Sus scrofa: one gene and its partners. The protein of the gene in region 1 purifies or fractionates together with the protein of each later gene. This does not show direct contact. Links are inferred from orthologs where the notes say so. Each region holds a gene or a part of one and is shown in the gene's direction. Other genes may lie near its edges.

What was found.
Region 2: the proteins of ASF1B (region 1) and NASP purify together in Homo sapiens (affinity purification with mass spectrometry; 5 studies listed by BioGRID and IntAct, counting the BioPlex papers as one, with this or other methods). This does not show direct contact. The link is inferred for Sus scrofa from reciprocal best matches to the Homo sapiens genes ASF1B and NASP.
Region 3: the proteins of ASF1B (region 1) and IPO4 purify together in Homo sapiens (affinity purification with mass spectrometry; 5 studies listed by BioGRID and IntAct, counting the BioPlex papers as one, with this or other methods). This does not show direct contact. The link is inferred for Sus scrofa from reciprocal best matches to the Homo sapiens genes ASF1B and IPO4.
Region 4: the proteins of ASF1B (region 1) and CHAF1A purify together in Homo sapiens (co-immunoprecipitation; 7 studies listed by BioGRID and IntAct, counting the BioPlex papers as one, with this or other methods). This does not show direct contact. The link is inferred for Sus scrofa from reciprocal best matches to the Homo sapiens genes ASF1B and CHAF1A.
Region 5: the proteins of ASF1B (region 1) and TONSL purify together in Homo sapiens (affinity purification with mass spectrometry; 5 studies listed by BioGRID and IntAct, counting the BioPlex papers as one, with this or other methods). This does not show direct contact. The link is inferred for Sus scrofa from reciprocal best matches to the Homo sapiens genes ASF1B and TONSL.
Region 6: the proteins of ASF1B (region 1) and MCM6 purify together in Homo sapiens (affinity purification with mass spectrometry; 4 studies listed by BioGRID and IntAct, counting the BioPlex papers as one, with this or other methods). This does not show direct contact. The link is inferred for Sus scrofa from reciprocal best matches to the Homo sapiens genes ASF1B and MCM6.
Region 7: the proteins of ASF1B (region 1) and RBBP7 purify together in Homo sapiens (affinity purification with mass spectrometry; 4 studies listed by BioGRID and IntAct, counting the BioPlex papers as one, with this or other methods). This does not show direct contact. The link is inferred for Sus scrofa from reciprocal best matches to the Homo sapiens genes ASF1B and RBBP7.

Annotation. Positions count from the first base shown.
Region 1 is NC_010444.4:65,062,019-65,065,985, forward strand, and holds the start of ASF1B (histone chaperone ASF1B), read left to right. Parts: upstream 1-1,167; 5' UTR 1,168-1,258; coding exon 1,259-1,367; intron 1,368-3,967. UniProt on the Homo sapiens protein: Histone chaperone that facilitates histone deposition and histone exchange and removal during nucleosome assembly and disassembly. Cooperates with chromatin assembly factor 1 (CAF-1) to promote replication-dependent chromatin assembly.
Region 2 is NC_010448.4:165,773,956-165,777,455, reverse strand, and holds the end of NASP (nuclear autoantigenic sperm protein), read left to right. Parts: intron 1-78; coding exon 79-245; intron 246-764; coding exon 765-821; intron 822-917; coding exon 918-995; intron 996-1,584; coding exon 1,585-1,707; intron 1,708-2,598; coding exon 2,599-2,679; 3' UTR 2,680-3,492; downstream 3,493-3,500. UniProt on the Homo sapiens protein: Component of the histone chaperone network. Binds and stabilizes histone H3-H4 not bound to chromatin to maintain a soluble reservoir and modulate degradation by chaperone-mediated autophagy.
Region 3 is NC_010449.5:75,108,590-75,112,643, forward strand, and holds the start of IPO4 (importin-4), read left to right. Parts: upstream 1-1,254; 5' UTR 1,255-1,788; coding exon 1,789-1,857; intron 1,858-1,944; coding exon 1,945-2,031; intron 2,032-2,187; coding exon 2,188-2,267; intron 2,268-2,344; coding exon 2,345-2,386; intron 2,387-2,789; coding exon 2,790-2,919; intron 2,920-3,010; coding exon 3,011-3,190; intron 3,191-3,438; coding exon 3,439-3,504; intron 3,505-3,608; coding exon 3,609-3,710; intron 3,711-3,796; coding exon 3,797-3,880; intron 3,881-4,054. Other genes in the region: TM9SF1 (transmembrane 9 superfamily member 1), read left to right, coding at 1-207, 775-1,168. UniProt on the Homo sapiens protein: Nuclear transport receptor that mediates nuclear import of proteins, such as histones, RPS3A, TNP2 and VDR. Serves as receptor for nuclear localization signals (NLS) in cargo substrates.
Region 4 is NC_010444.4:74,380,876-74,384,375, reverse strand, and holds part of CHAF1A (chromatin assembly factor 1 subunit A), read left to right. Parts: intron 1-2,550; coding exon 2,551-2,647; intron 2,648-3,200; coding exon 3,201-3,301; 3' UTR 3,302-3,500. UniProt on the Homo sapiens protein: Acts as a component of the histone chaperone complex chromatin assembly factor 1 (CAF-1), which assembles histone octamers onto DNA during replication and repair.
Region 5 is NC_010446.5:348,815-352,791, forward strand, and holds the start of TONSL (tonsoku-like protein), read left to right. Parts: upstream 1-1,177; 5' UTR 1,178-1,259; coding exon 1,260-1,284; intron 1,285-1,384; coding exon 1,385-1,480; intron 1,481-1,668; coding exon 1,669-1,811; intron 1,812-2,326; coding exon 2,327-2,510; intron 2,511-2,787; coding exon 2,788-2,917; intron 2,918-3,246; coding exon 3,247-3,418; intron 3,419-3,533; coding exon 3,534-3,648; intron 3,649-3,977. UniProt on the Homo sapiens protein: Component of the MMS22L-TONSL complex, a complex that promotes homologous recombination-mediated repair of double-strand breaks (DSBs) at stalled or collapsed replication forks.
Region 6 is NC_010457.5:15,947,638-15,951,137, forward strand, and holds part of MCM6 (DNA replication licensing factor MCM6), read left to right. Parts: intron 1-1,179; coding exon 1,180-1,335; intron 1,336-3,486; coding exon 3,487-3,500. UniProt on the Homo sapiens protein: Acts as a component of the MCM2-7 complex (MCM complex) which is the replicative helicase essential for 'once per cell cycle' DNA replication initiation and elongation in eukaryotic cells.
Region 7 is NC_010461.5:13,313,721-13,317,763, reverse strand, and holds the start of RBBP7 (histone-binding protein RBBP7), read left to right. Parts: upstream 1-1,243; 5' UTR 1,244-1,451; coding exon 1,452-1,599; intron 1,600-1,885; coding exon 1,886-2,030; intron 2,031-4,043. UniProt on the Homo sapiens protein: Core histone-binding subunit that may target chromatin remodeling factors, histone acetyltransferases and histone deacetylases to their histone substrates in a manner that is regulated by nucleosomal DNA.

The DNA of each region.
Region 1 (3,967 bases):
TTAACTTTTTAAACTTTTTTAAAAAACGTGGTTAACTTCAGAAAAGTGTAAAACTAGGTGCGCTGTCACAGGTGGAAGCAGGGAGTGAGTGCGGATGTCCCTACAGTCTTCCAGACAGGGGGCGACGGCGCTCCAGCCCCAGTGTGGGAGTAAAGTTTCTAGATGTATTATGCAGTCATAAATCCTGCCAGTAAATTTTCATGACCCTGTTCAACGCGCGGGGAAGGGTGGCCTCGAGAGGTAAGTGGAAGAGGCCGGACTCGAACTCTCATTTACAGCGTGTCTACCTGAAACCTCCCCAGAGGCTCTCGAAGGGGAAAAAGCCGGATTCGAACCAAGCCCGACTCCCGCGACCCAGGCCCCCGTGAGCCCCGTTACTGTCACACCGTCTCCCTTCAGGGATGGGTTAAACGTTCACAACGTTCACAACGGACTCCCGGGCCGCTGGGCCTGAAGGGCCAGGAGACCCATAGAGAAACTTCCGGCAACGCTCACCTGCTGAGACTCCAGAGCCGCAAACGCTCTTCCTTTCTCTTCTTACACCCCGCTCAACAGCGCCGGCAGTCGACTTCCGCTCCACTCCTACGAATCCCCCACCGAGTCTTATTTCCTCCCGCCCCCCAAGGTCAACTCAGCCAATAAACTCTCAGAGAATCGGCTTTATTCCCGCCCCACCCCTGCCTGCCAATCACCGCAGGTCAAGCACCGCCCTTCCCGCACTTTAAGAGGGGATTTGGCGAGCGCCGCGCGCCACCAATTGACGGTTGGCGGCGCTGCCCGCGGCTGGAAGCACCTCCCGGAAGGGCGGGGCTAAGTCCGGACAGCGCTAGTGCGGGGACCCTCGGGATTGGCCAAGAAGAGCCCTGCGTTTTGACCCCGCCCACCCCGCCCTTGACATTCGAGTCGGAGACTCTAGGGATTGGTTCCCGGCGGACTCCCAAAGAAGCCAAGAGACTGTCCCGCCTCCCTCCCGCATCCAGAAGAGGGAGCTCCACCGATTGGTCTCGGGAGTCTCGGCGCTTGCCTACCGACGCTCCAGGATTGGCTGGGGGGGCGCTCGCGCCGCCAGGGAGCGTTGACGGTGATTGGCTGGAGGGTGGGGCCGGCTATTTGAAGGAGGCGCGCGAAGAAGATTAGCTCTTCAGACCGCGATCGGAGGAGGCGCGAGCAGTTTTGGGTAACGCTGTTCTGCTGACCTGACAAGACCCAAACGTAGTCTTGGCCCCAGCTCTGGCTTCAGCCTCGGCCCGACGAGGCAATGGCTAAGGTGTCGGTGCTGAACGTGGCTGTTCTGGAGAATCCGAGCCCTTTCCACAGCCCCTTCCGGTTCGAGATCAGCTTCGAGTGCAATGAGGCCCTGACGGACGGTGAGACTGGGCCTGCGTGGAGCGACCCCCCTCCCCTGGGCCGCCCCGACCCTCCCCTTGGAGACAACCCTGTGAAACACCCCCTCTCCCCCAAATCTGATTTCCCGTAAACCAACACCCACCCCCAGCCTTAACCTCCCCTTTGGGAAACTACCCCTTCACCGTACCCCTATGGTTACTCGCGTTTTCCCCCGTGAAAACCTCATTATCCCCCTCTTTTTCCTGTAGCTCTCCTCTTGGGTACCCGTTTTCTAGGTAGAGACCGTCAGCCACCCTGACTTTCCTGTAGCAAGAGACTGCCCCTACCTACCTACTATTTAGGGGCAAGCCGCCATTCCAGCCATTCAGTCCTCCCCACCAAAAGGCTGTCCCCTGTGGTGAGGCACTCCCATCTCACTTTTTTCCTATGGAAACCCCAACCTCCAGCCCCCTCGAATTTCTCCTATGGAAATCCAAGCCCCCTCCCAATTTCCCTATGGAAACCTCAGCACCCTCCCATTTTCCTTATGGAAACCCCAGCTCCCGCCCCTTTCCTATATGGCAACTTCAGCCCCCTGTTCCATTTTCCCAATGAAGACCCTCTCCCCCTGTGACAAGACCTCACTCACCCCCATCTTCCCATCTGTCTTCCCATAATCTCCTCCCTGCTTGCTGATGCTCTACCTGGGGAAGCATGGCCAAACAAGCATAAGTTGGTTCTTACCATTTGCCTGCCAGATTCCTGCTGACTTACTGTAGCAATTCTCCCCCACTTTTGATGGTCTGACCTAATCTGGAGGGTGGGTATGCCAGGCTGAGCCATGAAGGTATCTGGCTTCAATCAGCTCAGAGGTCACAACCTTTTGTGCATCTTTTTCAAGGCGCTTTTATAGATGTACTTATTCATCTGTGTGACAAAGGTGGACATGACTCTCATCTCACAGATGAGAGCATGGGATCCACAAAGAGTAAAACACCTTTTTTGTACTTCTATAAAAATCAAAAAAAAATCTAAGGTCATTCAGAGAGTTTTGGCACCACTTTCGGGAGAAAGTACTCCATTAGACCTCTTCTCCACTTAGTGGTTAAGAGGCAGCGGCTAAGGAGGTGGAGATCTGTGAGGCCAGGGTGTGCTAACTAGCACCTCTCAGTGGTAGGTGTGTGCTTTGCATGCAAATTAGCCACTTGGTCTAGCCTGGAGTTGATAACCCTTTTGATATATGTGTGTGTGTGTGCTTAGACTGGGCCAATGGATCAATCTTCCCTGTTTCTCTCCTTTCTAAATTAAGGAATCTACTTGTGACTATAGTATAAGCCCAGTTAAATCCTTTCTGGAACAAGACAGTGTAAATAAATAAAGTGAAGAATCACCCTGTGGAATAAGATTTCATTTTAAAGCTAGGAGGAGATGTAAGGAGCTAATAGGTTAAGGGATTCACAGAGCCAGATGGCAGAAGATTGAGTTTCAGTATGTCTGTTTGTGATCCTCGGGGTTAAACATGGTTGCATGGTCATTATCTAGTACATTTACTCCTACAAAGTTCCTCTCCTGTTACTTTACTAATCTGTTACTAGAATCAGCACAGGAAAGGCTAAAGTCAACCTGCTGATCATTATCTTTCTTTTTTTTTTTTCTTTTTTAGGACTGCACCCACAGCATATGAAGGTTCCTAAGCTATGGGTCAAATTGGAGCTACAGCTGCCGGCCTACACCACAGCCACAGCAACGATGGATCCAAGCCTCATCTGCGACCTACACCACAGCTCACGGCAACGCCAGATCCTTAACCCACTGAGCTCAGCCAGGGATCAAACCAGCAACCTCATGGTTACTAGTCAGCTTCATTAACCACTGAGCCACACTGGGATCCCCGGTCATTATCTTTTAATAGAGAGAAATGGAATGATTTCTCCAAGGTCACATAGCCAGTTTGTAGAATTATTGACACTAGGTCTTGTCTCTGAGTTCTTTGTCCAAAGTTCTTTATCTTTCTGTAACCAGGGAAAGGCCTCTCCTGTGGAATGTAAATAGGACTGACCATAGATTTTATTTCCACATGAAAACACTGTCAAAAGAGGGAAAGGTGGTGCTATTATTAATTATACCTGGACAGTGAAGCTTTTGCTCAGAGAAATTCCAGTTAGAAAACCTGGAAATGTAGAGTCTTTTGTTGTACCTCTAGGGCTATCCTTGACTCTGACCTGCCAACTTGCTTTCTGCCTCTTCCCACAGAGCAGAGAGAATTTGTTTCCTGCCTCCCAAACAGATGGAGTGGGTCTGGCTTTAGAATTCTCTCAGATCCTGGAGAAATCTCAGTCTTGTTTCCTAGTGACTTCAGATACTGGTAACTGAAGATTTGAACACTCAGCCCCCAGTCTGACCCATTTCTCAAGGGCTCTGAACCTCTTTTGCTCTCTCTTCTTCTTAGCATCTGGAAATAGATGTTTGCAAATCATGAGTCCACATTCAATACATTAGATGTGTTTTTCCCCTATTTAATTGAGAAATTCAACGGATGCTGCTTGAATAAGTCTTAGAGCCAGATGTTCTGACCCACACTTAACATGCTATAGACAAGCCAAGGTTCATATGTATGATTATAAATAAAGGGAAAATGATA
Region 2 (3,500 bases), on another chromosome or scaffold:
TGGATCCAGTGATTGGCAGTTTAAAAAACAAGGCTCCTTTTGTACCTATTACTGATGACTTGAGCCTTTTCTTTCTAGCTGTACTGAATGAGCAGATGAAGGAGGCCGAAGGATCACCTGCTGAATATGAGAAAGAAATTGAGGAGCTGAAGGAGCTGCTCCCAGAAATTAAAGAGAAGATAGAGGATGCAAAGGAGTCCCAGCGGAGCGGGAATGTAGCTGAACTGGCTCTGAAAGCAACTCTGGTTGGTTTGGTTTCCTTTTATTAATGTTTTGATAATAGCATGTTCAGTATCATGAGGGCCTTTATCATGGTGTTAGTGTTCCATTTGCTAGAAATCTTACTCATGACTTGGTTTGCAGGGAGCTGGAGGTCAGCAGGAATGTGAGAACTCAGTAACTAAAATGGGGATATTGGTACCTATATGTTAAAATATTTCTGACAGTATAAGACAAACAGAAATTGCTGTTTATTGCAGACTTACTCCCTTATCTGAGAACTCCTTTGTATAGAGAGATAGTGAAGGCTTTTAAGCCCAGATTGCCTGGCTCTGCTTTTGGCTGCTCGAATATTAATTTATTTACTCTCTACCCTCCAAGGCCCCACCGGGGGTGTGGGAGGCATGGGTGACAGTGTGGGGTAAATGATACTGCTCGTCTGTGGAAGGCACTAGAATTGGACGTCGTAGTTGCTGGTAGATGGATGAGCTGGTGGGCTCTATCCTGGGACCCAGACCCACTGGGGTTTGTCCTCTTTTGCGCAGGTGGAAAGCTCGACTTCGGGTTTTACTCCGAGCGGAGGAGGCTCTTCCGTCGCCATGGTGGGTATTCCGGTGATTTTTGTCACTTAACATATGAGCCTTGGTTTTGTCTCATATGTAGCAGTGCATTGCTAACACAGGCTTCCTTTTTGCCAGATTGCCAGCAGAAAGCCAGCTGATGGTGCTTCCTCATCAAACTGTGTGACTGATATTTCCCATCTTGTCAGAAAGAAGGTAAATCTGTGGTCGTTTCTGTTTCCCACTCTACAGTTTCTTCCTCCAAATGATGTGTGAGGCTCACCTCTAACATGTGGTGACATGAAACACGCGTCGGGAAGGCGGGAGGATTCCAGCGAAGACGCTTGTCAGTCGAATACATCCTGGAGTTTCAAACTCTTGGCCTTTCTTATTTGGCCGAAGGGTGACGAGGAAGGCTGCTGAGGACGACTGGTCAGATCAGCCCGTCTTAGGAAGCTCGCAGGTTTCCTTTGACCTGCCGAGGCTTAAGCTTTTGTGAGCTGGCCTTCTGCCTGCTGCAGTAGATTTTTTCCCTCTTAGGGGAAAACTTTACCTCCTGCTCTGTTTCTTAACTCAAATACAGGATTTCAAACCGGGGGTTGGTTACTGTTGAGATCTACTCCTCACCCCCACCCAGCCTCTGCATTAGGCTAAACTGGCTCTTCCGGCTCTCAGAGGCGCCTGTGTTTGGGATCTCTGCCCCATATGGAAGAAGGGGGTGTTGGGGATTGCTTATAGTTGTCCTTAAAAAAACATTTTTAAAAAAGCACATTCGTTAAGCTTCCACAATTAATTGTATCTTTAGAGGAAACCAGAGGAAGAGAGCCCTCGGAAAGATGATGCAAAGAAAGCCAAACAAGAACCAGAGGTGAATGGAGGCAGCGGGGATGCTGTCTCCAGTGGAACCGAAGTTTCGGAAAACATGGAGGTGGGCAGTTAAGCAGGGTCTGGACTCTCGCCTCCTCGCTTCCTCTTGTTCTCAGGGCCTGGGGAAACTCCTCCTCCCACATGCATGTTCCTCACCTGAGCCTGTTTGGATTGCTGGGGTGCAATGCTCATAAAAACTGTGAGGCTGTGGGTTAAAAAAAAATGTAGTTCCCACTATGGCACAGTGGGTAAATGATCCAACTTGTCTGGGGGTGCCAGTTTGATCCCTGGCCTGGCTCGGTGGGTTTAAGGATCTGGCGTTGCTGCAGCTGTGGTATAGGTCGCAGCTCCAGGTTAGATTCAATCCCTGGCCCAGGAACTTCCATATGCTCCAGTGGCAGCCAAAAAGGAAAAACCAAAAAAAGTGAGGTTGTGGCGTTCTCTTGTGGGACAGTGAGTTGAGGATCCTGTGCTGTCATTTCAGTGGCTCATGTCACTGCCATGGTGAGGGTTCATTACCTGGCATGGGAACTTCCACATGCCATGGGCGTGGCCAGAAAAACCCAAAATATAAGCAAAAACAAAACCAGCAAACAATGAGGCTGTGCAGAAAACAGTTGGGTTATGAAATGGGAGGGTGTCTGTTGACAAATGGAATCCATACACCTCCCAGAGGTCCCTGCATAATGAATGTGTGAGAAGACAGCAGGCAGGACCGTTCGGGCACTTGTGCTTTCTCCTCTTTCCATCTAATGATGTGTGAACACTGGTTCTGTCCAGCCCTGCTGCAGAGTTTAGGAAATGGCCTTACAGTTTGTGGCCATTGCTTTCTTAGTGTAGGGAGCAAAGCAGAATTTAAGGGACCTGTATTTACTTCCTTTGCACAGTTGTATGAGAAAAAAATGGCTTAAATTGTGGTCATTTATGCCCAGGCTCCCTGTTTATCTTCCAGGCTGAGAATCAGGCTGAGAGCCGGGCAGCAGTGGAGGGGACAGTGGAGGCCGGAGCCACAGTTGAGAGCACTGCGTGTTAAGAGAGGGAGTAGAGCCTTCCTCCCAATGGAAAGTGTTTTTGTATATAATGTATTTTTTCACTTTTGGGGGATTCTTTTTGTATAACTTCAATAAAGATTGTAAGCAAAGGTTGAGGCTTTGATGATTTTTTTTTTCTTAAATATTGGCTATCTTGGTGCCTTGGTGCACTCCAGGTTTTATATCGTGGCCAAAGGTTTTTGGTTTTTTTCCTCTTCTGTACTGATCTCAGTGTTAAGTTTGAATCCAAGATCCTGTCTGACGTGGAGGTGATGAAATCCAGTGTGCTGCAGGCCCTTGTCTTCCAATGGTGCTATGTTTTTTCCATTATACTCTACTGAACCCAGCTGTCTTTGCAAATGTTGCATGGTGCTGACCCTGGATAGGGCTTACAAAAACAAGACTTGGTGAAGATGTTGCTCTTTGGTGCTGATACTGTTTGATAGACTTTGACAGTGAGCTGATGTAACAGCTTCTAAGCCAGGCTTTGGGTGGCACCTGTCTTTTATCCACCAGGTTTCCAACTGGGGCCATAATCCTGTCCTGGAAAAAGAACTCTGAAGGAAACTGAGCAGAGGAGGGGAGTGATCCTTGAGGAAAAAGTGTGTGTTAACTGTAGAGGATTGAGCTTTTGGCTTGAAAGTGGCTGAGGGACTTGATTGATGGACACCCTGGATGTGGTTGGTTGAATCTGGGGAGACTGGCTGATTTGAGTTATATCTGTTGTATTTCAACCATTCTGTACACAAAGTATCAACAGTTGAAAGTGTTACCTGTCTGCAGTTTTGACTCTTAAATAAAGATGCAAAAAAGCTCCTGGTCT
Region 3 (4,054 bases), on another chromosome or scaffold:
GCCAGCCACCACCATCCTGCTGCTTCTGACGGTTTGGCTGCTGGTGGGCTTTCCCCTCACTGTCATTGGAGGCATCTTCGGGAAGAACAATGCTAGCCTGTTTGATGCACCTTGTCGCACCAAGAACATCGCTCGGGAAATCCCGCCCCAGCCCTGGTACAAGTCTACTCTCATCCACATGACTGTTGGAGGCTTCCTGCCTTTCAGGTATCCTCCCTTTATTCCATGGCCATCACTCTCAGGTTCTTGGCCTTAACTTCCCTACTCACCCCATACCCTAACCCAGTATCAGGAGTAATCCCCAGTTCGGCTATTACCATTAAGAGATCACTAAGTGATTCCTCCTTTCTCTAAGCAGGACTGAGCTTGAATCAGTCAGTTCAAATATGAGGTTGTCTCACTTGTAAAGCTTTCCAGAGACATTGCTCCTTAAACCATCTTCCTCATTTCTGACTTTAGGGACACCATGTGGAGCTTAAAGCCCATTCGAATACTCATTCGGTTTGAGTGCCTCTCAGTACCAGGCAAATACAATGGGAAAGTAAAACAGATAAGATACCTGTTCTCAACCTACTAAAGATGTTCTTGAAATGAGAGCAGCTAATCATAGGTAAAAGAATCGCCATCAAGCCAGAAACTCCAGGGTAGGGAGTGGAGTGGACCTGCTTTCCACAGTGATCCAATAACATGGAGGGGTGGTGGCTGGATTTTTGCCTGGCCACTGCTGGCAACACACAGCCCTTTAATGCTGTGTATCGTCTCTTCTCTTCACAGTGCCATCTCTGTGGAGCTGTACTACATCTTTGCCACAGTGTGGGGTCGGGAGCAGTACACTTTGTATGGCATCCTCTTCTTCGTCTTCGCCATCCTGCTGAGTGTGGGGGCTTGCATCTCCATCGCACTCACCTACTTCCAGCTGTCTGGGGAGGATTACCGCTGGTGGTGGCGATCTGTGCTGAGTGTTGGCTCCACTGGGCTCTTCATCTTCCTCTACTCAGTTTTCTACTATGCCCGGCGCTCCAACATGTCAGGGGTAGTACAGACGGTAGAGTTCTTTGGCTACTCCTTACTCACTGGATACGTCTTCTTCCTCATGCTGGGCACCATCTCCTTTTTTTCTTCCCTAAAGTTCATCCGTTATATCTATGTTAACCTCAAGATGGACTGAGTTTGGGGTGGCAAAACTATTGCTCTTCTTTCCCTTTCTTCATACCCCATCGATCTCTTACCGTCATCTTTTCTGACTGAGTGAATGAGTTGTGTGATGGCTTTGTTGTCTTCCCCTTTGCCCTTTGGGCCTTCCTTCCCCAGGGAGGGCCTGGAAATTATAAGTCTCTATTATATAAGGAGTATATATTTGAACTTTTTAAGTTGCCTTTAGTTTTGCTCCTGATTTTTCTTTTTACAATGCCAAAATAAAATTTATTAAGAAAAAGGATACTGTAGTTGGAGGATTTGGTCTGGATATCGAAACGCGTGCCTTGCCATTAAGGGCACTGTCTCATAGAAAGCCGGGTCGGCAGCGGAAAGCACGGGATTCGAATTCTCCACGGAGCTTGGGAACCCTCGGCTGGGGGAACCTCCCTTACCAGGGCCCTGTTTCAGCGGCTCAGCCGGAGCTCAGCCCAACGGAAGTGGCGGAGCCGGAGCTCTGCGGGAAGCTAGTTGAATCACCTTGGCGACGGGAGGGGCGCGGAGCAACGCCCCTTCCGCCGGAAATGGGTTATAGAGCCTCCACGTGCTGTCCCTCCCCCCGCCCGGGCCGGTAGTGGCGGCTCAGCTGCTGCCATGGAGCCTGCCGGCCTAGAACAGATACTGCAGGAGCTGCTGCTGCCGGACACAGACCGCATCCGGCGGGTACTGGGGCAGGCGGGACCAGACCGGGCCGGGGCGAGAGGAGGGTTGCGGGAACGGCCTGACTCTTGACCCCTAGGCTCTCCCCAGGCCACCGAACAGCTCCAGACCGCTCTGCGGGACCCCACTGCCCTGCCCGCGCTCTGCGACCTGCTGACCTCGGCGGGCGACCCTCAGGTGAGGCTCCTGCCCCTTCCCGCTGAGCTGCCCTTAGTACGCTACCTATCCAGCCCCAGCTCCAGCCCCCGGCGTCCCGCGCCTTCCTGCTCCGACCCTCACATGCCTGCTGCTTCTCCCTGCCGGAACCCTCACATGCTTGCTTCCTCATCCCAGATCCGGCAGTTCGCAGCTGTGCTGACCCGCAGACGACTGAGCACTGGCTGGCGGCGGCTGGTGGTGGAGCAACGGGAGAGGTGGGCTGGGCCAGGGGCGGGGCGGGGCCAGGCTGAGGCGGCTCTTGGGTTCCTAACACCTGCCACTTGTGTTCCAGCCTCAAGTCCCTGATCCTGTCGGCCCTCCAAAGAGAGACAGAGTAAGTGCCTAGAGCCCCCTCTCGGGGTCCTAACTGATTCCAGGCTGAGACCTTCTTCAGGTTTCTACCTTCTTTTTCAGCTCTAGGCTGGATCTTGGGGGGCAGGGACTACAATTCTAGACCAAGGAGGAAAGTTCTTTAGCATGGGCTGTGATTGTTTGTCAAAACCGAGTCCGAAGAATGGAACTGAAATTCAGTATGGGTGATGTCAAACTCACCAGATTGCACACCCACCATGGTGCTGGCTTCCCCTTGAGCTTCTGCCTTATGTGTTCCAATTTGGCAGAGACCCTGTGCCCACATCTGGAGGTTTCTCTTGTGGCCACCCGGTGGAGGCAGGGCCATTGTGTGCAGGGGAGGGTATTGGAGGGTGATTAGGGGTGGGGAATCTCTCCCTTTGCAGGCATTCTGTGAGCCTTAGCCTGGCCCAGCTCTCAGCTACCATTTTTCGAAAGGAAGGCCTGGAGGCCTGGCCTCAGCTCATGCAGCTTCTTCAGCACAGTACCCACAGCCCCCACATCCCAGAGAGAGAGGTACCAGCGCATGGTTGGTGGGAGGAAGGGACCTAGAGGCTGGATGGACCATGTAAGCTTTTCCCTCTCAACTCCTGTTTCTCCTGGGCAGATGGGGCTTTTGCTGCTAAGTGTGGTGGTAACCTCCCGGCCTGAAGCCTTCCGACCCCACCACCGGGAGCTTCTTCGGCTTCTGAATGAGACCCTGGGTGAGGTGGGCTCTCCTGGGCTCCTCTTCTATTCCCTGCGCACTCTGACCACCATGGCTCCTTATCTCGGCACTGATGATGTGGTGAGATATGGTCCCTCACCTACCCTGGCTCCCTGTCCTTGGGCTTTCATGTCCTCACCCTTGCGAGTCCCAGAGGTACTTCAGATTCTTTCTGGTTTTTGTCCTGCCTAACAATTGAAAGGGGATCCTGTGGGTGGGTTTGCCTGGGCTTCTCCTACATCCAGGCTTCGAGGAGGCTGCCAGATCCTCGAGCTTGAGATTAGGCTGCATCGTGCTTTCTGTAATTCAGCTTGTCCTGTGTTCTCCAGCCTCTTGCGCGGATGTTGGTGCCCAGGCTCATCACGGCCGTGCAGGCTTTGATCCCTGTAGATGAGGTGAGAGCGTTCGGTAGGAGCTCTGTTGGAAGGAAAGGGCGGGAGTGTTCCTCCTCGTTCACCAGAGGAGAGCACTGAAGCCTTGTGACTTCTCTCTCTGGCAGGCAAAGGCCTGTGAGGCCTTGGAGGCCCTGGATGAACTGCTGGAGTCAGAGGTGCCCATCATCACCTCCCACCTCTCAGAGGTCCTCACATTCTGCCTGGAGGTGAGCCCGGGGTTGGTGCTGTCCCTGCTGATTGTTTTGATGAGAGTTTCCTTGTCTGTTTCTGATTCGAGTTGGTCTCTGGGCAGGTGGCTAAAAATGTGGCCTTGGGTGACGCAATACGTGTGCGTATTCTCTGCTGCCTCACATTCTTGGTCAAAGTGAAGAGCAAGGTGAGTGCCCTCTGACACATATCACCCCACCCCATCTCCATCCTTCATATCTTACTCTGGGGCTTTCTGTCCATCTTAGGATGTCTGAAGTACTATCATTAAGATGTTTTGATTTTGGTGTCAGCCCCAGCTCTTGGCTAGGAGATTGGGAATCTCTTGCTGGACCCGCTGTGG
Region 4 (3,500 bases), about 9.3 Mb from region 1:
GTGGGCTTCAGGTACAAACCCCCCTGTGTCCCCTTAAATGCATGGGGTTTGTCTCTAGCAACATGTCCTGAGCATATAAACACTGTTGTCCAGGGCCAGGCTCCCCCTGTATCCGACTCCCTCCTGCTTTAGTTTATGGCCTTGTCCTCCTGGTCGCAGAATGGCTGCTGCACCTCCAGGCAGCAGGACAAGGATAGCCAAGCCCTCCCAGGGGAGCACCCTTGTTTAGCTGGAAGGGGAAGCAGACTTCCACCTCTGTCTTTCCAGCCAGAAAGCTCTGGCACAGCCCCCCCCCAGCTGCAAGAGAAGCCAGGGCAACAAGACCTTGACCACCACCACCAAGATTCTGGTTGTTCCAGAAGGGCACATGGGAAGATAGCTCTGGGTGTGCATGGAGCAAGCCTGCTGCCGCACAGCACCTGGGTCAAACGGGGGTCACAGGTACAGCTTTCTGAAGGCAGGATTAGGGGCCTGGGAGCAGGCAGGATGCTTCCCTTTGCATTTTGGTAAAGCCACTAACTGATACTTCCACATCCTTGGGGATAATTGTTGCCAAACTAAATGTATGTGAATGTTTTAGATGGGGTTGGGCTTTTTTTTTATTTGTGGGAATTTTTTAATATTTTCATTCAGAGTTCAAATGTGCTTACAAGGTACCATGATCTAGTGAGGCAGACAAGCGGATGTTAGGTGCCAGTTCTGCCACCAAGTTATGTGTGCTCCCATGGTGACTCAGCTTTTTGGCTTTGCTTTTATTTTTAAATGGGGAGGGGCTCTGTTTGCCTCTTCCAGCCAAAAGTATCCTGTGATCAAAAGGACAACAGTGTTATCCAGTCTCAGTTCTTTGTGGTTGTTAAGTGTCTCCCTAACTCCTGAGGCTCTCTCTGCAGCTTTGCACCCTCTGCCTGTGGTAGCAACAGCAGCAAGTGGAGCTGTCCCATTGCAACAAGCTGCTGATAGCTCTCAGCACGGAGGGACTAGGGACTCAGTCCCCAGGGACAGGGAGGCCCGTAAAGAGATCCATCCGTGTGTCTGTCCTGTTGCTCCCCCAACCCAAACCTCTAGGTCAGTGTGGTTGAGAGCTGCTCTCTCTGCTCTGGGCCAGTCAGTTCTACCTGTTTCAGGTAGAAACTGCCTGCAGCGTCCTCTCAGTGATTCGGGGCCATTCCTGCCTCAGTGGCTCCCAGCCTGAGGACCCAGTGCCGAGCTCCTATGCTAGAACTGGGGGCTGCGGGTGTGAGCCCAGTTTGCCGGCCAGGCCAGGCAGCCCAGGTGCAAAGCAGATGGTCTCCTAGTGCTGTCATCCCTTAAAGGCAAAGGGAGTTTTCTTTGCAGAGGAAATTCCAGAAGTGTTTTGAGACATAGCCTAGCACCACAACCTCTGCTAGTTCTTTGTTCATGTACAGAGTGTTTGTGAGGATGGTCAGTGTGTAAAGTTGGTTCCATTACTTTACACATTCTGTCCCTGTTCCCTCTGGTGAAAGCCAGTGAAAACAGCTTGGGAGGAATTCTCATTGTGATTCGGTGGGTAAAGAACCCTACTAGTATCCATGAGAATGCATGTTCGGTCCCTGGCCTTGCTCAGTGGGTTAAGGATCTCGCGTTGGAAGCTGCAGTGTAGGTTGTGGATGTGGCTCAGATCTAGTGTTGCCATGGCTATGGTGTAGGCTGGCAGCTGCAGCTTCGATTTGACCCCTGGCCTGGGAATCTCCATATGCTGTGGATGTGGCCCTAAAAAAACAAAAACCAAAAAACAGCTTGGGGATGTCATTGGAAATTCTACCCTCAGTAGAGGACTTCCTGCCCCTCCTGACCTCTGACCACACGGTGCAAGTGGCATCCTCATGGGCCAAACTGGCCTGAGCATAAATTAAATTAAAGAATTAGCAAGCTTCAGGCAGAGGGGACTAAGCTGTTGGGCAGAGAAGAAAACATTGACCAATTAACTTCTCAACCACTTATTCCAAACAATAATTCAGAGAAGGTGTGTGCCTTATCAATCTCTTTCAAACCAAACCAGAAACACAGAATTCTAATTCAAAAACCATAAACAAACATGAGTTCCCATTGTGGCATAGTGGAAACGAATCCGACTGGTATCCATGAGGATATGGGTTCAATCCCTGGCTTCGCTCAGTAGGTTAAGGATCCAGCATTGCCGTGAGCTGTGGTGCAGGCTGCAGACTCGGCTCGGATCCCGAGTTGCTGAGGTGTAGGCCAGTAGCTGTTCCTCTGATTTGACCCCTAGCCTGGGAACTGCCACATGCTGTGGGTGCAGCCCTAGACAGCAAACAAACAACAACAAAACAATAAATAAGCCACTTTTTTAGTAAGGTAAATAACGATGGGCATAGTTTTCAGACATCTGAACATAATTAGTTCATTTGAGACAAGCATCCCCAAGGTTTCCTTTGATCATAACCTTTCAAACAAACTCCTCAAATTTTGTTGCCAAAATGGGTAGAAGAGGTCAGGTGTATAGAGGCGGGTGTTGGGAGGGTCACACCGTCCCCACCTGCTGCTGATGGCTGTGCACCCTTGTCTGTTCAGGTCGGAGCTGGAGACCTAGACGGCTTCCAAGCAGACACAGAGGAGGAGGAGGAGGAGGAAGGCGACTGTGTGATCATGGACATCTCAGATGTTGGGGGTGAGAAGGGTCCCAAACCCTCTTTTCCTTTAAGCTGGCAGGAGAGGGAAGAGCGGGTACTGCTACTCCCCCACTTGCCTCTTGTGACTAATGAGGACTGAGTGAGGAGGCCCTGGAAGGCCAGGGCAGGCTGGTCTGATGTTAGTTTGGGCAGAGCATTTGCCCTGGTCTGAAAGCTACGTGTAAGAAACTAAAGACCCGAAAGTTGGTGGTGACGAGCTTTGTCAGGGAGGGAGGGTCCAAAGGGTTGGGTAACCAGCAGTACTGAGGGGAAGCCTCTGAACCCAGCTTACCCAGGGGCAGGGAGCCCAAGACCAGCAATTCTCATCAGTGTGAGCTCCAGCACACCACTGGTCCTTGCTGCCCACTTTCTTCATCTTTGCCATGGGCAAACCTGGAGGTTCAAGTGTAAAGTCTGCTGAACAGTGCTACAGAAAGCACACAGGCACGAGGTGGACAGCCTAAGCATTAGTGAGGGAGCAGGACCACCCACTTAGCTGCCCACCCCGACAGCCAGCCGGTGGCTGAAGTCCCTCCCTCTCTTGCCTTGCAGACATCCAGGCCACGTGTGGAACCACTTCTGGAGCTGGGGGGTCTGTGGCAATGGACACCAGTGAGAGCCTTGTGGCCTCCAGCTCACTCAGCCCTTCCTGAGCACCAGGACTGGCCTGTGTATGTATGTAGAATGGTTAGGGTATTCTCAGATACTTGAAAGTCCTGATTCCTATTGTAAAGAGCACTTTGTCCTGCTTCACAGACCTCCCTGGAGGTTTGGAAAGTTTTATATAGGATGCTTGATTAGTTCTTTTTGATATTTGTAAAAATCTTCCCCAAAAGCTGCATATTAATCTGC
Region 5 (3,977 bases), on another chromosome or scaffold:
GGCGCCGGAGTGGGAAGGAGCCCTGAGCCCTCCGCCCTCTGCCCGGGTTTCTGTGGCTCAGCGCCCCCTCCCCACGCTGTCTCCCCCGTTGCCCTTCACATCTCACCAGCCTGCCTGCCAGTCATCCACCTTGGTTTCAGGGCCTCCTGTCCTGCCCTCTGGGCCCCTGGGGGCAGGGTGAGAGAGGACCACATCACTCAGGAGCCACAGAGGAGGGCCACCTGTGGCCGACTTCTCACTTCCTGTGGCTCCTCCTTCTCTGGACCTGGCACCCATCCAACCTCCCTATTACTCCCTCAACAGCAGGCCTTGCTGCCCTTCCACTGGCAGAGAGTTTTACCCCACTGGGTTTGTTTCCATATCCACAGAAAATAAAACTGCCCATTGCCCACTTCTTCCAGGCCTCCTCTGGGGCCTTCGGGGTGCCCAGGGCCCCGTGGCAGGCCAGGGACTGAGAGCCCCAAGGTCTGGCAGGTCTTTGATTCTCAAGGTGTGGGGGAAAGGACAGGACAGGCATTCGAGTTCTGAGGCCAGGTGCCCCACGACCACAGGGGCCCCCGTGTCCTCCTGCGCTGAGAAGTCGGCTAGAGCGCTGTGGGCTTCGTTCCTGCTCCTTTTTCCCTCTCAGCACAAAACAGGTTTGCAGGCTGTACTCCCGAGTTTTCCAGGAAAACAACTGGCTGGCGTGCACATCGAGGAAGCAGCATTTTGCTCAGTTCATTTTGGAAAACAGTCCCCTTCCCTCCCCACCCCCGACCCCGGCCCTGGAGGTAGGAGCCCCACACGTGACGACTGTGGCGCGCTCGAGGCTCTTCCACGGGTTCTGTGACAGGGACACCTCTGATTACGCCAAGTACTCAAGTGCTTGCGGTCCCAGACTCCGTCCTCTTCTCCCACGCGAGGGCAGTGCGCTCCGCAGATCAAGCCGCACGGGCAGGTAAGTTTGCGGGCTGGCAGGACAGTGGCAGCAGGGGTGGGAGCCCCGGAGTTCCCACCTCGAGGGCAGCTGCGGGCTGAGGGGCGGTGCCAGGAATCTGGGGAGGCGCCCTCCATCTCGCCCCGCCCCGCGCCCCCCTTCCGGGCCAGGCGCCAGCACGACTACAGCTCCCAGGATGCCTCGGACGACTGGACTACACTTCCCAGGATGCTCCGCGGGCCGCAGGCCCGACTGGGCCTGCGCGCGGCGCCCCAGTGGGAGGGACCGCCGCCAAGGCGCGAGAACGCGGGAAGTCTGGAGCCCCTGGCGCCGCTGCCGGAATATGAGTCTAGACCGCGAGCTTCGCCGTGAGTTCCCTGCCGAGCGCCCGAGCGCAGGGGCCGGGAGCGGGCCTGGCTCTCCCGGGCAGGGGGGCTCCGCATCCAGGCCTCGTCCTTCTTTTTGCAGAGCTGAGCAAGGCCAAGGCTAAGGCGCAGAGGAGCGGGCAGCTGCGGGAGGAGGCTAATCTCTGTCACCAGCTAGGGGAGCTCCTGGCCAGCCATGGTGCGTGGGGTGGAGTCCGGGACTGAGAGGGGGGCGTCGGGAGGACCGGGGGGCCAGGGGCCGGAGGTGGGGAGGCGGCAGGGCGGGGGCCTGCTCAGTGTGCCGCCCAGGGCCGGTCGCTGCCCCACTGGCCCTCGCGGCCCGTGGCCCCCTGTCCGGCCAGACTGGAACGTGCCCCGCCCGCCCAGGCCGATACGCCGAAGCCTTGCGAGAGCACCAGCAAGAGCTGCAGCTCCTGGAGACCGCCGGCGACCCCCTGGGCTGCGCGGTGGCCCACCGCAAGATTGGGGAGCGGCTGGCGGAGATGGAGAACTTCACCGAGGCCCTGCAGGTGAGTGGAGGCCGCGTCTCCTGGGCCCGCGTTGCCCGAGGGTCCGTTTCTGAGGAGGGAGTACAGCCTCCACCGTCCAGGCCCCTGGGGAGAGGGGGACACGCTACCATTGGGCATCACCTTCAGAGAACCCTGTGCCAGGCGACGGCAGCCTGGTCTTTGGATGGGTACACCACAGCCGGGCCGCAGAAAGCCCTCGTGAACATATTTCTGGAGCTGAGTTTGTGGGCTGGTTGGAATCCTGACTTTTTCTACACAGAGCTGCCTAGTCCCTGGCTTCTGGGGCTGCAGCAGCCCCCCTAACTCCCACTCATCTCCCCGGTGATGACTCTGGCTGGTTGGAGCGGGGTGCTACCGTCCCCACAGGCAGCCCTTGGCAAAGAGATAACGGGTGTGTGTGGCATACTCTGGGGGCTTGGGGAGTGGAGAGCTCTTCTAGGCGTCCCCCTGGAGTTGGGGAAGGCGTGGGTTGCTTGAGGTGGGGCTTGGCTCACAGGGGTCATTCTGTGCCCCAGCACCAGCACCACTACCTGGACCTGGCACGTTCCCTGTCCAACCACACTGAACAACAGAGGGCCTGGGCCACCATTGGCCGCACTCACTTGGACATCTATGACCACCAGCAGACAGAGGACGCCTTGCTGCAGGCGCAGGCGGCCTTCGAGAAAAGCTTGGCTATCGTGGATGAGAAGCTTCAGGGTGACTGCCCTTGGGACCTGGCTCTCCCCACCTTCTACCTCCCGAACTCCGCGGGGAGAGGAGGCTTCAGCCCCAGCGCCTGCCTGCCCTGTGTGGCAGGACCCCCCTGAGGGGACGCCTGGCCTGTGCTCCTCCCCGCCTGGGGTCTGGCTGCCTCTGCTCTTTGTCCCTCCACACTGCAGCAGAGCCCCTGGTGCCTACGAGAGGCTGGATAGGGCCTAAGGCTGGCGAGCCCCAGCGGGCCGAGGTGCTGAGTGTCTGGAGGCATGTCTTCCAGGGACACTGGCCAAGCGGGAGCTGAGTGAGATGAGAACCCGACTCTACCTCAACCTGGGCCTCACCTTCGAGAGCCTGCGGCAGGCCGCCCTGTGCAGCGCCTACTTGAAGAAGAGCATCTTTCTTGCTGAGTAAGGCCTCACTTGACCCCTAGAGGGAGCCGAGCGCCCCGTTCCTGGAGGAAGCAGCTGCTGCCCCCTAGGCTGCTCCCAGACCCTGCTGTGAGGGGTGAGGAGCGAGGGGCAAGGGGCTGGGCTGACCTCACACCTCTGCCCCTGGCAGTTTCCTATTAGCATAGAAGCCTGGCACGTCTGTGCCTCAGGCTGGGGCCAGAGCAGGCTCTGCTTCGTGGGGGCTGGGATCCCAAATGGCATCAGAGGTTGCACATCGGCACTTCCGGTGCCCACCCTGCTGTCCCAAAGCCAAGTGCCTCAGCACGAGGGCCTGTCCCCACCCACAGGCAGAACCACCTCTACGAGGACCTCTTTCGCGCCCGCTACAACCTGGGAGCCATCCACTGGCGTCAGGGGCAGCACTCCGATGCCATGCGCTGCCTGGAGGGGGCCCGGGAGTGCGCACGCCTCCTGAAGCAGGGCTTCATGGAGAGCGAGTGCTGCGTGCTCATCTCGCAGGTGCCAGTGGTTCCCGGCAGCTCCGGGCCCAGCTCCCGGGGTGGGGTGGGGGGGGTGGGGGTGGGTGGCCGGCCTTCGGAAGCCTGCGAGCCTCCCTCCCCTTCCCCCCCCCCAGGTCCTCCAAGACCTTGGGGATTTTTTGGCTGCCAAGAGAGCCTTGAAGAAGGCCTATAGGCTTGGCTCCCAGAAGCCTTTGCAGAAGGCAGTGGTCTGCCGGACCCTCAAGTATGGTGAGCCTAAAGGGGACCCTGGGGGCTGAACCCCTCAAAGGGGGTAGGAAGTTCCCCTCCTCCTTCAGCAGAGGAGGCCTGGGCGTGTGTCTTTTGGGAGGTGACAACAGCCACATGGGGCCCCCCCACCTCGTTGGGAGGAGCTTCTCAGGGTGTCGGGGTGGGGGCGATGAGGTGGGAGTGCGGGCAGTCCGTGTGGCCTCAGGGCCTGGTAGGGGGCAGTCAGCGGGGTCCCCATGCTGCCAGTCCTTCTCTGCCCTAAGCGGTCCTTAATCAGCCTTCCCAGTCCTTGTGGTGACCTCTCGAGGCAGCTCCGCCCCCCCGTCCAG
Region 6 (3,500 bases), on another chromosome or scaffold:
CCCTGAGAATTATTAATCCAAATTATAGGTGCTGTTTACGGTACTGTGAAAATTATTGCTATGACGCAAAGTAGAAGTACTGGTGAAATTTTTAGTACTTTCACAATTTCCACAGAGCTTCTATAGTCTTTGATAAAGAAAGGGTACTTCCATTTGTAACCAAAATGATGAAAGTCAACAGATTATTTAAATGAAAATAATAAATACAGTATTGTAACTAGCATTAGAGAGAAGCCAAACTTTAAGAATAAAAGCAATATGGTCAGTTAAGAAAAACATAAGCAGTACTTTAAAATAGAAGTTAAAAAGAGAAATCTTCCCTTACAGCTTCCAGCACCAGTAGATACTCAGAAGTTTCTGCTGACTTTGTGCCCCTCTTAGGAATGTTTTATCATGAATAAGCATAATAAACATACAGTTTTGTTGCTTGCTCATTAAATTCCATCATTTTATTTTGGTAATCTTTCTATACCAGTACATGTTAGATCCACTTTAGTTTTTTTATTACTGCATGATTTTCAATTGTATATATCCCATTTTGGCTTAGTAGGCTCTTATACAGTGACATTTAGGTTATTTCCAGCCTTTTGTATTCTAAATGATATTATAATAAATGTCCTTAGACACATTTTCCCATACCTCGCTGCAAAGTAATTTCTTAATAAGAAATTACTGGCTTAAAGGGTGTGTACATTTGGAGTTCCCGTCGTGGCGCAGTGGTTAATGAATCTGACTGGGAACCATGAGGTTGTGGGTTCGATCCCTGCCCTTGCTCAGTGGGTTAACAATCCAGCGTTGCCATGAGCTGTGGTGTAGATTGCAGACGCGGCTTGGATCTTGTGTTGCTGTGGCTCTGGTGTAGGCTGTTAGCTACAGCTCTGATTCGACCCCTAACCTGGGAGCCTCCTTTTGCTTCGGGAGTGGCCCAAGAAATGGCAAAAAGACAAAAAAAAAAAAAAAAAGGTGTGTACATTATACCACCAACATCATATGGGAGTGGGTACCTGTTTCTCTTTATTATCAGACTTTAATTTTAATGATTCAGAAGGTGAAAGATGGTAATCTTATTATTTTGTTTTGCATTTAGTTAGTTATTAGTGAGGTTGAGCATTTTGTTGTATGCTTATTGGCCATTCCAATTATCTTTAAACCTATCACAATTTTTCCTTTTGTGGTCAGGCTACTCTGAATGCCAGGACGTCCATTTTGGCAGCAGCAAACCCGATCAGTGGACACTATGACAGATCAAAGTCATTGAAACAGAATATAAATTTGTCAGCTCCTATCATGTCCCGATTTGATCTCTTCTTTATACTTGTGGATGAATGTAATGAGGTAATCACATGTGCTGTCTTCCTTTGTTGTTTCCAATTTGAGTAGTTGAGCCAAACCTGGAGGATATACTCCTGAAGAACTGGTGCATATGTTGGCAGTGACTTTTTTTTTTTTTTTTTGGCAGTGATTTTTTCTTTCTCAGTGCCACAGGTTTGGACAAAGGTTTATTAAGCAACTCAAAATAGAGTCACATCAAGTTTTTTGTTTTTGTTACTGTTTTTAAATTCTCAAATAAAAGAGGAAACATATTACAGTAAATTCCCAACCATATGCTTCAAGGTTTCTATAAGATTTTTTCATTGTTTTCTGTTTCTTCCAGGAGTATTGGAAAGAATCAGAATGCCAAACAGGAATTTTTTTCTTATTTTAAATTATGAGTCATTTGCCCTCCTGTACTGTACTTTCCTATCAAGTTACTACATGTGTCACATTTTTTCCTAATTATGTAGTAGTTTTAAGATTGAATGTAAAATTGTGGATTTACTTAGGTTTTAACATGTTAGTATTAGAGTTACTTAGACTTAAATATTTAACAACATTGCACGTCTTAGATGAGCACAGAACTACAAAATGTCCTTCTGTAGAAGGTAATATTGTATCGTACTTTTTAACTGCTGAGCATGGAGATCCTGCATTACATTAGGCCCAATGCATGCTTCTTGTTTATAGCAAAACTTTAAATATTATTCAAAATAAAAGCTGCCTTCTGGAGGTTCCACTGTGGCACAGTGGGTGTGTGATCCAGCTTGTCTTTGTGGAGGAGCTGGTTTGAACCCTGGACTGCTGCAGTGGGTTAGGGATCTGGCATTATTGCAGTTGTGGCTTAGGTCACATTTCTGGCTTAGATTCAGTTCCCAGCCCGGGAACTTCCATATGCTGCCAGGGCAGCTGAGAAAAGCAGGGAGGGTAGGGAGCTGCCTTCCATTAATGTGAATGTTTAGGCAGTTTTTGTATTTTATGTTCGGGTTTGGCTGTTTTCCTTCACAAATCTATGGGGAGCTGCCTTCCATTAATACGAATGTTTAGGCAGTTTTTGTATTTTATGTTCGAGTTTGGCTGTTTTCCTTCACAAATCTATGTATTTAACCCATTCCTCTTTGAAGCCCCATTGTTGGGAGTTGTCTGATTTTCATATATTTCTGTCTGTACATAATACTAAATTAGTTTTTTAACTTTTTAATTGAAAATAATTTCAAACTTACAGAAAAGTTGCAGGAAATAGAATAGTATATATAGTACCCCAATAGTCTTTTTTCAGTTCACATATTAACTTTTTGCCTCATTTGCTTTACCATTTGCTCTATATATCTCTACTTTTTTTTCCTGTACCATTTGAGAGTAAATTATGTATTTTTAGTATGATTTTATTTTTTCAATGGTAATAACAATTCTATGAGATTATCTTCATGTATTCATAAGTGGCAACATAATGTAGTGGCTAAGAGGACAGACTCTGAAGGTAAAATCTTCAAATCCTTTCTCTGTTACTTAATCACTGTGATGTTAGACAACTTACTTAATCTTTCTGGGCCACAATTTACTCATTTGTAAAATGGGGGTAATATTACTTACCTAATAAGGTTTTTGTGAGGGTTGCATGAATTATTGCTTCTGGATATACTTAGGGCAATAGTGACTGTCATATACTGAGGGCCCTAGAAGTCTTACTTCTGTCATATTAAAATCAGTTATTTCTGGAGTTCTCCCTTGTGGCCCAGCAAGTTAAGGACCCAGCATTGTCTATATGAGGATGCAGGTGTGATCCCTGGCTTGGCTCAGTGGGTTAAGGATCTAGTGAGCTGAAGCATAGGTTGCAGATCCAGCTCAGATTTCGTATTGCCATGGCTGTGTAGCTGCAGCTCTGATTCAACCCCTAGATTGGGAACTTCAGTATACCATGGGTGTGGCCATAAAAGGAAAAAAATATTAAATCAGTTAATTCTTTCAGGAGTAGTCTTAGAGCAGTTTAAAGGTATACATTTAAACTTTTGATTAAAACTGAAGAAACTTTTCTCAGAAACTTGAACCCATTAATACATCTTACGGTGGCATATTAGAGTTTGTTAGCCATAAATAATTTCTTAATGCCTGAGATAGCCTGAAGTGTTTATTGTTATAACTAATCAAAGTGATTTTCTGATTTCGAATTAGGTCACAGATTATGC
Region 7 (4,043 bases), on another chromosome or scaffold:
CCTGTGCAGGGGCAAAATCCCCTGCAGTCTGAAAGACTGCAAACATCGTTCTAAAAACCCAAATTTGTGAAAACGTAATTCAAATCAGCTTCGGGGTGTTGGTGGCCTGTGCACAGGCCCCAGTTTAGCCAACCAGGGAGGCCCGGCGGCTTCTGCAGTCAGAAAACACCCGCGGCCTCTGCAAAAGTCCCCCTTTGCCTCCGACAAACAACACCTCGGCTCCACCAGGCCCCAGGAAAGGCTAGTCGGGTGGAGGGAGACCTTTCGAGGTGCACACAATTGCATGCCTGCGATTATCTGGGAGACTTTGAGGGCACAGTAATCTCTCGAGACCAGAAACCATTTTCCTCTCTCGCTCTGAGATTGTGCCTGGCTAAGCAGCAACAGCCTCCCTGCCCCCCTCCTACCCCCCACCGCCACGGCCACGGCCGCTGCAAGCAGCCACGCCCCGCGGCCCCAGGGCTCGCCGCCCCGGGGCTCACAGCCCCCACGCAGCTTGCACGCCGCACCTCCCTTCGCCCCACCCCCGCGCGCCCCCATCCGCCCCCGCGGCCGGCCCTGGGAGCGCCGGGCGAGACCTCGCGCCTGCGCCTCGCCAACTTCCTGCCGCGAAACGTCCCGCCCACCCTCCAGAAGCCCGCCTCCGAACGCCGCGTGAAACCTGCCTGCTGCACGTGATTGGTCGAAACCACCAAGCCGTTGGCTCCCAGGCCCGCCTCTCCACCGCCTCTCACTTTTCCCAGGGCGGATGCGCCTGCGCTCAGCTGCCTGGGCGGGCTGGGAGGCGCGGGTTGAAAAGTCTCGTTCCAAGTTTGGAGAGAGAGAGAAGAGCGTCTCAGACCTCGGTACCCGCAATCGGGGAGGAGGTAGGAGAGAAGGACGCGGCGTCTGGGGAGCACCCAGGCTGAAAGACGGAGCTGAGGCTTCGAGAGCTGGAAGTGTGTGACGCGCCTGGGAAAGGCAGGAGCGCCTACTGTTGGGCTGCTCTTGGCTAGCGAGGGGAGTCCGAGGCGGCGGCGAGGGGCAAACGACCCGACGCAAGATGGCGAGTAAAGAGAGTAAGAGGCCCTGCGGGGCGGCGCGCGCCGGGGCGGCGGGGGCGGCGGGCGCGCGAGGCCGCGGCACGCGCCGGCGAAAGGCGCGAATTGGCGTGAGGAGCAGGGGGCGGGGCCGGGCGCGAGGCTGGGCGCGCGCCTCGAGGGGCCTACGCGGGACGCGGCCGCGGCGCGGAGGGCTGCGAGCACTTCCGGAGCCGGGCGCGGGGCCGCGATTTGGGCCCCCTCCCCCCCCACCCCGCCACCCCCTACCCCCTCCGGCGGCGGCGCTCTCGGTCCCCGGGCGGAGGCGGCCTCCGTCGCCGGAAAGCGGGCGCGGCGGCTTCTTCCACGCGCGCGCGGCGGCCGCCTCGGGGTCGCGGCTCTTGTCCGGGGGAATTCTGGAACCCGTGGCTTATGGCTGCCGACGCGGGCTTCGTGGGAGCCGAGGCCTCTCCTGGTGGGGGATGGAGGGAGCGGGCCGATGGGTTTCTGCTACACGTGGATTCGTCTCGCCGGGTGGGTCGGGGAGCCTCTTTACATACGGCTCGTCATCTCCGAACAGGTGCGGACAGCTGTAGCGGCAAAACATTTGCGATGTCCGTGTAATTAATTACCCGATTCTGTATTCGCAGGCATTATTGATTTCAAAGTGGAGAGGGAAAAAAAAAAAAAAAAAAGCTTCCTGGTGTTAATATTCTCTCCACGTTGTGGACGAGCAGTTCGTGTCCAAATTAGAGAGAGAGGAGATTAGGTGTGGCCATCTCGAGGTGACCTCCGGTATCTGTGTACAGGTTTTGTTTTCGATCCCTCTCCGCCACTTAATCGTGTGGGCTTTCTCCAAATTTCAGTGTTTGAAGATACTGTGGAGGAGCGTGTCATCAATGAAGAATATAAAATCTGGAAGAAGAATACACCGTTTCTGTATGACCTGGTTATGACCCATGCTCTTCAGTGGCCGAGTCTTACCGTTCAGTGGCTTCCTGAAGTGACTAAGTAAGGGTTTCTGGCACCTTTTATTTTGCGTAAATTTAACTGTTGTCCTGGATTTCCTACTTTTTGGCGTTTTCTGTATGGAACGTAAGCATGTAGTTAGTTTAGCCCTTGGGTGAGGTGGCAGGTGATTTTTATTTTTAAAACTTAAGTGATTTGGGGGTTGGTTTCTGGCGTAATAATGTGGCGCTTAAAGGGGGAGAAAGAATCTGTTGTGAGATTAATGTTATTTGCGGGAGGCACCGGATATGTTTGACATTTATTGGGCATTAACATAGAGCAGCATCTTTTTGGGTGCCAGACTGGTGGGATTTCTTTAAAAACTTTATGGGAAAATAGCGTGCCTAGGAGTTGCGGCTGTGGCGCGATGGGATTGGCGGCGTCTCTGCAGCGCCAGGACGCAAGTTCTATTCCTGCCCCTGCAAAGTGTGTTAAAGGATCTGGCATTGCCGCAGCTGCGACGTAGGTCGAAACTGCGGCTTGGATCTGACCCCTGGTCTGGGAACTTGCATATACCGCGGGTGTGGCCATTAAAAAAAAAGAAGAAAGAAAACAGCTACGTGCAGAAAAGTGCACAAGTCATAAAATATGGCTTGATTAATTTTTGCGAAGCGCACACATCCTTGTAACCAGCCCCCAAGATAAATACGTGTTAATTGCAAAGGGGAAGAGAACTGAGCAGCAGTTCACTACCGGAAAGGTGGGGTTGTTGGCTTATAGTGTGGGATGGGATACACTTTGAAATTGCTCTTGGTCCTCTTAAGAGTATTCTTTTCAATTCTTTGTCAAATTCTCCGGTGATAACTACTGACATTTATTGAGTACTTAGAATACGGCATGGCACATCTCAAGAGTTTTGTGTCCTGTTATTTGGTTTAATACAACAGTAGAATAATTACTTTTTATCATTCTTGTTTTACCAATGTGGAACCGGGCTGAAATGTTGAATAACATGCCCCAGATCACACAGCTGGTAAGCGGTGGAGTGGGCTTTTGAACCCAAGCCAGGTGGCCCCAGAGTTGTGGCAACCTCTGCCCTAGGTTATCTTTTTCATACAGTTGCACATTTCCTAATAGAAACTTGGCCATGCACTTTTACAAGTGTGTTAAATTGTGAGCATATAATTTAATGAGGATTAATCCAACTCGAGAGAGGGAATTTTGTAATGTAAGAAATAAGAGTAAATAAATTACCTTCACATAAAACCGATATAACGGCTGGATTGTCCATATGCGAACATTGACTTCTACAGATAGGGACTTCCATTGGGCTTACCCCAAAATCTCAATGTCAATGTACAGCGGGAAGAAGAGCCGACAACTAAACACTGCAGACTTCTAAGTATTGATATTTATACCAACTTTGACCAGGGTATTGAGGTTCTGGTTTAGAGCATTGTGTGCGTTTGGCTCTTTGTTTAAAACTTCAATTTACATTTCCTTGGATCTTTTTGACCTAGTGTAACAATAGACAAGATGGAGGGCTTTAAGGTTAGAGACCTGAGTTTGAATCATGCCTCCTGCTTCTTGGCTTTGTGAATGAGGGCAAATCGGTCAGTCTCTATCCCCGAGTAGTCTGGTCTGTAAACAGAGGTGTTGGCGGTTCTCACTGCCTACATTTGAGGGAATAAATAAGATCACACATGTTGAAGTGCTGGCTGATGGTAATTCTGCCACCCCTTCCTATTGAGAAATAATTTGTTAGGGTGGAATAACTCTTCATTTGTATTTGAATGAAGGCTGCTTCTTGAAATCTTTAAAAAATGTTACCCACGATGTGGTTTGTGTAAAGGTTTTATTTATTTGGTGTGTAAAGATTTGAAAGATAATAGTTCTGTGTGTTTTCGGCCCAGATGTTACGTTTATATTAACACTTGGGAATTTAACAGAAATTAAATTATGTATTCCATGGTGTTCTCTGCATATGAGGAAGTGGGATCTGGTTGTGGGATGTGCAGTGGCTCTGGGAATGCAAGAAAATGCCAGCCAGCCTGCATTCTTGGGTGTTGAGGACAG